Linked DNA regions of Drosophila melanogaster. The protein of the gene in region 1 interacts with the protein of each later gene in a pairwise test. Each region holds a gene or a part of one and is shown in the gene's direction. Other genes may lie near its edges. The genes, in order: klhl10 and soti.

Region 1 (5,308 bases):
GTGAGTCGGCGGGAAAAAAAATTAACATTCCTTTTTCATATCAATATTTTTATATTTGTTTTTTTTTTGTGGAACCGAGTGGTGTTGCATAATGCTAAGTTTAGCCAAAAATTCGTTTGTATCTTACTAGTGCATAAAAATAGTCCGCTCCTACCGTTGAGGTATGCTTCTCGGAGTCTTTGTGTTATGGTAAATTTTTGTTACCACATTAGGCTTATGATTACATGGATACTAACCAAATAAGTAAATGTAATTAACCTTTTATGTTTAATGTTTATTTGACACCACAATTTTCTTCTTAACAAATTTATAAATCCGCGCTTAAAATATATATGTATATACATATATACAAATGTAACTAATTTTGGTAAAAGTATAAAAATGAAAATAACAGCATTACAAAGATTTATGTAAGATTGTTTATTATTATTGTTTATTATTAATTTAATTATTAGTTTAATTCTAAATGCGGTAATTATATAAAGTATTCTTAGTTTGTGACCGAACGACTGCTGCTGAGAACTCGACTGACTGCCACGCTGACTTCCACACCACTGCTGCCTTGCGATCGTTCCTTCGATGACTGATTGTCGATAACTTCGATTTCCGACAATCATGTTGCTGCTCAACAGCGCTGCCAACCGGGTTGTTGCCAGCCTTCAGCCTTACTCCATGTTACATTCGGCCCTCCTGATCATCATCATCCGACCCGGATGACAATAGGTCTGCATTTTCGGCTATGTACTTCCACAACTTCATGTTGTCACAGCTGGTGGATGTGACATTGGGTCCTTCGACGTTTGCTGCTTTTTTAACGTCATATCTGCCATTGTCTTTGACCCCTGTGACTTCGTATGGACCTAAATACCCGCTTGCCATCTTGCGGCCAGCTACAAATTGGGTCCTTTTAATTGCAACCAGATCACCTGCTTTGTATTTGTATTCAGCTCGGCGCTTTTTGTCGTAATTGCGCTTGTAGTCCTTCTGCGCCTGCTCGATGTTGCGTTTTACCAGCTGTCTCATCTCATAGCGGTCCTCGTTGAATTGACAGACCACTTCTTCTTGGAGCAGTTCCAGTAACCGATCCTCAACTCGGGTGTACATCTTGGTGCCAAACATGACCTCAAATGGTGACAGCTTCAGTGATGAATGCACGTGACAGTTGATCGCCTTTTGTACCTCAGGCACATATTTGTACCACTTCGACGGTTCGTCTGAAGACAGCTTTGATATTATTGCCAAAATTAAACGATTTACTCGTTCTATCTGGCCGTTGCCTCTGGCCACTCCAGTAGTTGTGCAGACGTGTTCCACGTTATGGCTGCTCATAAATTGTTCGAACGCACCACTCGTAAAGGCCGTTCCTTTGTCGCTAACAATTCGCTTAGGGAAACCAAAAATGTTTGACCAGTCGGTCAGCCTCTTGACCACTTCTTCCTGTCCGGTTGATTTGGTTGGGAATAACCAGACAAACTTTGAAAACGCATCGACTGTTGCCAGAATGTATTTATACTGTTTGGCCGATGAATCCATTGGCCCCAAATGATCGATGTGTAGTGTGTGCAACGGTGCGTCTCCTTTATCTATGCAATTTAGATATCCCTCCTGCTTTCCCAACTTTTTGCTGTGGATGATACATTTTATACAGTTAGAAATTAGCTTTTTTACCTTGTATTCCAAATGAGGAATAAAAAATTGCTGCTGTATGCTATGCATCGTCTTTTGCAACGACAAATGGCCAACTTCATGTGCGCTTTGAATCACCTCCCTCTCCATTAGTGCAGGGACAACCAGTAGTTCATTGCCATTGACCATACTATACAACAGGCCACCTTTTAGCTTGTAGGGTTGGAATAGACGATCTTTTAGAATTTCCGGGATTGCTCTAATTGAATCATCGTTCTGCTGCGACTTTTTAATACGTGCTGTCAACTCGGATGTTATCATCATGCATGCTTGGGGATGGCGGCTTAAAAAATCAACGTGTCTCATTCTTTCTCCTGCACGATGTTCGGGTTGAAAATTAAAATCCTGCATATAGAGAATCCATGGGCCAACTTCTCTTGGGACATCTGCTTTTTTTGTTGTCTGTTTAAATGCGACACAGTCCGTGACGAGCTTGAAAGGGACTCCCAATAAATAGTGTCTGAACTTTTTCAGAGCTAAGTATGCGGCTTTTACTTCAAGGTAGTAACTATGACGATTTGATTCGGCTTTTGTAGTTTTTCTGCTCCAAAAGCAGACTGGGTGAAAACTGCCTTCGAACTTCTGCAATAAAACGGCTCCTAACCCGTCCTTAGAGGCATCTGTATGAAGTTCGGTTTCTGCTTCTCGTGAGTAGATCCTCAATACTGGTTCGTTTACCAGAATCTCTTTCAGCTTATTCACCGACTGCTGCTCTACTGGTCCAATGTTGAAAATGGCATCTTTTTTTAATAGGTCCGTCAGTGGTCTCGCAATTTGGGCGTATCCAGGTATGAATTTTCTGAAGAATCCTGTGAGACCCAGAAATCCTTGAACGGCTTTTACATTCTGAGGTGTTCCAAAGGAATTCACTGCTGATGTTTTCTCTTTTCCAGGGCATATTTGTCCACCTTCGATAATATGTCCCAGGAAATGAATTCGCCTCTGCATAAAGTTGCACTTCTTCCATTTTATTTTTAGACCAAATTCTGCAGCTCTCTTAAGTACCATTTCCGTCTTTTCCATGCATTCTTCTGGGGTAGCGGCATATACAATTATGTCATCCATATATAGCTGCATTATATTGGAATTGATTAGTTCTTGAAAAATAAATTGAACGAACCGTATAAACGCTGCTGGGGAATTCTTAAAACCAAAGGGCGCTTTGTTAAACTCGAATAAGCCTTCTCGGGTAACAAATGCTGTGTACGGCTTGCTGGCTTCTTCTACGGCCACATGAAAAAATCCGTTCTGTAAGTCCATGGTTGTAAACCATTTGGCACTCTGCAGTTTTTCAAGCACCTCCTCCATTATGGGTACCGGAAAACAATCCATCAGAACCATGGTGTTCAATTTTCTATAGTCCACGCAAACGCGTAGGGTACCATCCTTTTTCTTGACAACGACTATGCGACTGGCAACATTTGATGTAGATTTACGGACGATTGACTGCTCGACCCATTCCTCTACCTGCTTCTTTACAGCTATAGCTTCTTCTTCAGATAGTCGGGTGTGTCCATGGCGAAAGGGTTTAATCACGCCATCAGGAATAATTTTGAGTTCGACTGGACATTGCTTTATCTGCTTGGGTGGTGTTTCGTATGTTCTCTCTATCATGCGTTCAACGTCTTCTCGGTATTGTGGTGCAACTGTAAAAGAAGATTCTTCACAAATATTAAACATTTGGGAATACTCAACCGCTTGTTTTTTATCTGCTTCCAGGTCAAGAAAAGTATAGCCTTCTGCACTACAGATAAGACGAAACTTGCTGATAAAATCGTGTCCCACTATTCCATCGCAACTGAATTTAGAATCGTGGACGACTAAAACGTTGTGGCTTGCTTCCACCTGGTCGGTCTTGATTAATGCTCTGAAGCATCCAATCGGCTGTGTTGAGGCATTTCCCAAACCTCGCAATACTGTTGCAGTGCGGTTTAAATCAACATCTTTCATCTTCTTGAATATAGCTTCTTTAATTATGGTCACATCTGATCCTGTGTCCACCAGACAGTTGATGATAATCCCATTTATGATTACTGGCTTTGTTCGTGCACTATCAACGTGAATGCGCATGCTGTTTACTTTTTCCGGACACTTGCTTGAGATATGGCCCTCTTGATTACAGCTGAAACATTTGGTAGGAAGTGTACAATCCTTTCGTTTGTGTTCCCTCGAACCACAGTTGAAGCAGTGATCTGCTTTTACACCTTGTGTAATTTGCTTTGGTTTTGGTTGAATATTCGGCTTGTCAACAATATTCAGACTCTCGTAGATTTCGAATTCTTGCTTTAATTCCTTAAGAGTTTTACAACGGAGCATAGCACCCTTATACTCCTTTTTAATGTCGAGGCCGTTTACGATATGAGTTATCAAAGCAACTGTTTCAACTTCACCTAAGGCTGCTATTTTCTTCATTTGTAACAAATAGTCGTGTAGAGTTTCCTCCCTCTTCTTCTTCCTGTCTTGCAACTTTTTGTGAATAACGGCGCTATTATAGCTGCCTGAAAATTCTTCAATTAGTAACTCTTTGAGTTCAGTGTATCCACTGACACATTCAGATTCTAAGAAAAGTTCTGCTGATCCAATCATCTTACTTCTGGCTTGAACATATTTTTGTTTCTCCGAAAGTTCATATGCCTCGGCATTTTTCTCAAAAATTTCAAACCATTTTTTAATAGGAATTGATTTGCCATCACAGTCACTTACAACTTTTTCAAATTTTTCTGCAGCGATAATTACTTGCCCCTCTTGTTTAGATTTTGCCAACATGCTCTGGGTTAGAGTATTCATCATTTGTTCAAATTTCTCTTCGACTTTAGCACTAGCGTCTTTATTCTGCTTCTTTGCCTCTGCTTCTCCTACAGGCGCCAACTTTTGATCTTCTTCGTTCATTTTTTCTTTTCTGCTTTCGTCCTCGCTTTCGTTCTCTAGAATTGCTTGTATTTGGTCGGTGTTAAGTTTTTTATTTGTAGGTGGTGTACGTGTGAACATTCCGCGACAAGGCACTAACACCAGCAAACAACGACAATGTTCTAACGGCGCGACGGTAGTCGATTTTGCAGACGGCGCCACCGGTTAAAAGACAAATTTTGATTTTCGTTAGAAACGAATTTCACCACCTTTGCAATTTAATTGTTTTAAATTCCACAACAGCAAAACGACTTGAGTCTGTATGAGTTCAATCGATTTTTTCAACTTTCAATGCAGTAGACGTAGCCATAACTTTACAACTTTAAAGACTAAATCCACGCACACGACAATTTCAACTTTATCAGTTCTCTCTAGCAGCTTTCCCGACTTTTACCGACTTGTGTTCAAACAAAATCTGTACAACTGATTTTTCCAACTTTAAATGCAATAGATATAGCCACAACTTTACAACTTTTAAAGACTATACCCACGCACACAACAATGTCTTTTTTCTTTAAACAACTGCACCTTCATATAACCGATTTAGGACTGGACGAGCCCCCATGTAAGATTGTTTATTATTATTGTTTATTATTAATTTAATTATTAGTTTAATTCTAAATGCGGTAATTATATAAAGTATTCTTAGTTTGTGACCGAACGACTGCTGCTGAGAACTCGACTGACTGCCACGCTGACTTCCACACCACTGCTG
Region 2 (3,368 bases), on another chromosome or scaffold:
GAGCTTTCATGGACACAATGTTCGTGTTGGAGATATTTCATTGAATCAATTATCGCTGGACATGGCATAATAATTACTGTCTGCTGCACACAGAAGCGCACACTTGCAGACACAATCCACCCACCACCACCCACTTCAATCCAGTCCAGCCCAACCCAGCTCAACCACCCAAAAACAGCCAACCACCCACGCACCCACACACTGGCAAGGTCGCCCGAAGCGACGAAGCAGCAGGGACATGTTCATTTCTTCATTGATAACTGGAAGGGAAGCTCATCCTGGCCTCGTTACTTAACCAACTGTAACAGTCCAACTCGTCTCTCAGAGAGGCAAGAGACTCGAAGAAAGAGATGGGGACAGGTGAGCAGAGAAGGAAGGCACGAACTGACGCAAACAGAAGGCGAAGGATGCAAGTTGCACTTAGAGAAATTGTATTACTATACACAGTAAGTTTCATTAAATGATATGAGTAAAATCAACTTAAGCACTAACTATATTATTTGTAATATTTCAAATGAATATAAAAACATCTTTGTTTATTGTTTATAATTTGTAATTTATTTTACTTGAACTTTTATTAATGCCTAACAAAAGATTTACCAACAAAAATTAAGATAAAACAAAATACTCTGCCCCGATTTGTCTCTGTGCAGCAGTAAAACAAAAATTTGCCCGTATTAAAGCAAAATAATGAAGTGAAAATGGCAACAATGTGATTACACACAGTCATAGACCCAAAGCCATAATAAATTGTTCCACAAGCGAGAGGTCAGATCTCAAGAGAGAGAGAGAGAGAGAAAGTGAGAGAGAGAGAGAGGAAAGAACGCAGTGAGAGCGAGGGGGAGCATCTGCGCATGCGCTAATCGAAATGTTGCTGATACATCCTTGGCAACATGATGGTAATGGCTAACTTGTTGGATGCAGCTGCTCCACTCCACTTCATTCCACTCCGCTTACACTTCCACTTCATAATTTCCTCCGGCGGGAAAAACTTTTCGCTCTCACAGCGATTTGTCTGGCAAACAATTTCCGAAATGCGATTGCTTAAACGCAATACGAAAAGTTATTAATTGAGCTGGCCGTAATGAGCTCATTTACAGATTGTAATGTGCTCCCATTACAGGCACACAAACAGCTGCCGATTTCGATTTCTCGATTCTGAATCCGGAGCACTTGATGCCAGGCATTCGAGTCGAGTTAAATGGCTTGTAATGACGACGTCGATGGGGCGTCGGTGGGGGGTTGTGAGTTCGTAAGGGTTGGGGTGGGTAAATAGGGCTAAATGTGTCCAATCACTTGGGGGCTGGCTATTGGGGTCTGAACCCGATTTGGAACAAGGCGAGCAAATGTCAGACAGCGATTTCCCATTTGTCACTGGCCGTTCGATATGGATATGACTACATCTAATGGATACACACAATTCTATCTAATCGCCCCCAGTTTAGGAGGCTGGAAAACAGGCGAAAAACTTTCGACCAAATGGGACTTGGTATGTGGCAAGTTTTCTTTGCTGATGCTCTTGGCTTCTAGACTCTCTAAATAATATAGAAATGACAAAACAAAAAACATCTTCCTCCTATCATTTATTAGCAAATATTCCTTTGATTTTTATGTCAGGTTTCCATTTCTCATAATCACAATGCCATGATATTAAATTCAGTTCTAAATCAAACTCAGACACTACAACTACAAAACGACACAACTGATACTACAGAGAAAAAAACATCGTATTGAATAGCAGAAGCACAACCTACACTGCCGTATTTATTGTTCAATTTTTGTTGGTTGTTTTTTTTTTTTTGTATGTGCCTGTAAGTTGGAATGGACGTACTACACGGACACGATCTGTACGATGAGCAGCTAATCGATCGAGTCGGCGACGCGGTGAATGAAGATGCTGGCGATGACTTGGACACATTGGAGGATGGACAGCAGCAGCAGCGCCTGGGAGTCAATCGTCAGATGGACATACTCCTGGACGCTCCTCAAGAGCCACCGTTGGGCGTTTTTCCGGCGCAAGGAGGGCCAAATGGACCACCACGTCGGCGGAAGAAACGAAGTTTCTACACTATGACCAAACCCACTCCGCCATGCCAAAGTCAGGAGCCGGAGATGTGCCTCCTAATGGCCAGTGTCACGAGGGCAATGCGTCACGTTCGCGAGGATCAGCGAGGCGAGTACTTTGCAAATTACCTCGTCGAGAATATGACCAGTCAGAACTACCCGAATGGTATGGGTCTGCCACAGCATTGGGGTCAGTTCTGATTCGCCATAGTTCTCCCATAGATTGTAAATTAGAAGAACCTCTCTTGGACCTCGGAAGATCGAGCAAGCTCATTGGGATCCCATACTACACATACATGTACACGTCCATATATCCAACCAGCCGATATGCATCCCATTAGTTATCTTTCCTCTAAAAACTTGCTCAAAACAAAAATACGTTACACCATAGTTATCTACCGCTCCACCAAGCTCAAAAAAGGAAAAAAAGACGTTACTTTACTGACTTACAGTTGAAAAATGTTTGCGGTTCAATCTTGTTCAATAAACAACACGATTTAGCAAACTTATATTTTCATATTTGGTTTTCAACTTATTGTTTTCCAAATTTATTCTACAATTGTTAACAAACCACATAATATATAAGTACCACATATATGTTAATAAAAACCGAATGATTTATCTAAATTAAATTGTCTATACAGTGACTATCACACTTTATTCAATATTTTCAAATCGAACTTCACTTACAGGTATCAGATTAATAACGCATTTATTGTTCAAATAGAGACTACTCCCTCTTGCAGCACCTACATAACGTACATACAAATCAAAGTTTTTGATTTTGATTTGCTTGCCGGCGGAGGCCGATTGGCCTGAAGGCTACCGAAAAATTCATGAAATTGACAATTAATAAACTTCAAATTGGAAGCCCCACATACGCCATGGATCCCATCACTCCGCCTCTGCCCTCTCATCTCTCCCTCGGCATTCTTGTGGCAAAAACAAAAGGATTTATATAGGCTCCCCTCCCAACAACAACAACACACATATGTGGACTACGGCCACTGACAATGGCCACAATGAACAGATGAACAGTGGAGAACCAGAGACAAAGGCCGAATGCGGACAATTGCCCAAAGTGTAGCAAATAAATACAAAATGCAAAAGATAATTGCAATCAAAGCCACAAAATGTAGCCAAAAGGCTTATAAATTGTGGGCGGCAGGCGGCTGAAATGCCGCAGGGATGAGGAAGGGGTGGTGGTGGGGGGGAATATACCGAAGGTAAACGCATTTAATTTCCTAAATGTGCTTCGCATGCCACAGCACAAAGATACACACTTGCATTCATATACAAATAGG

Evidence for each region.
Region 2: the proteins of klhl10 (region 1) and soti interact in a two-hybrid assay, tested with the Drosophila melanogaster proteins (one study listed by BioGRID).

What each region holds. Positions count from the first base shown.
Region 1 is NW_007931083.1:51,210-56,517, forward strand, and holds the start of klhl10 (kelch like family member 10), read left to right. Parts: upstream 1-2,232; 5' UTR 2,233-2,333; intron 2,334-5,308.
Region 2 is NT_033777.3:14,379,983-14,383,350, reverse strand, and holds soti (scotti), read left to right. Parts: upstream 1-1,651; 5' UTR 1,652-1,821; coding exon 1,822-2,265; 3' UTR 2,266-2,688; downstream 2,689-3,368. UniProt on the Drosophila melanogaster protein: Post-meiotically transcribed gene that has a role in late spermiogenesis; required for actin cone progression during spermatid individualization.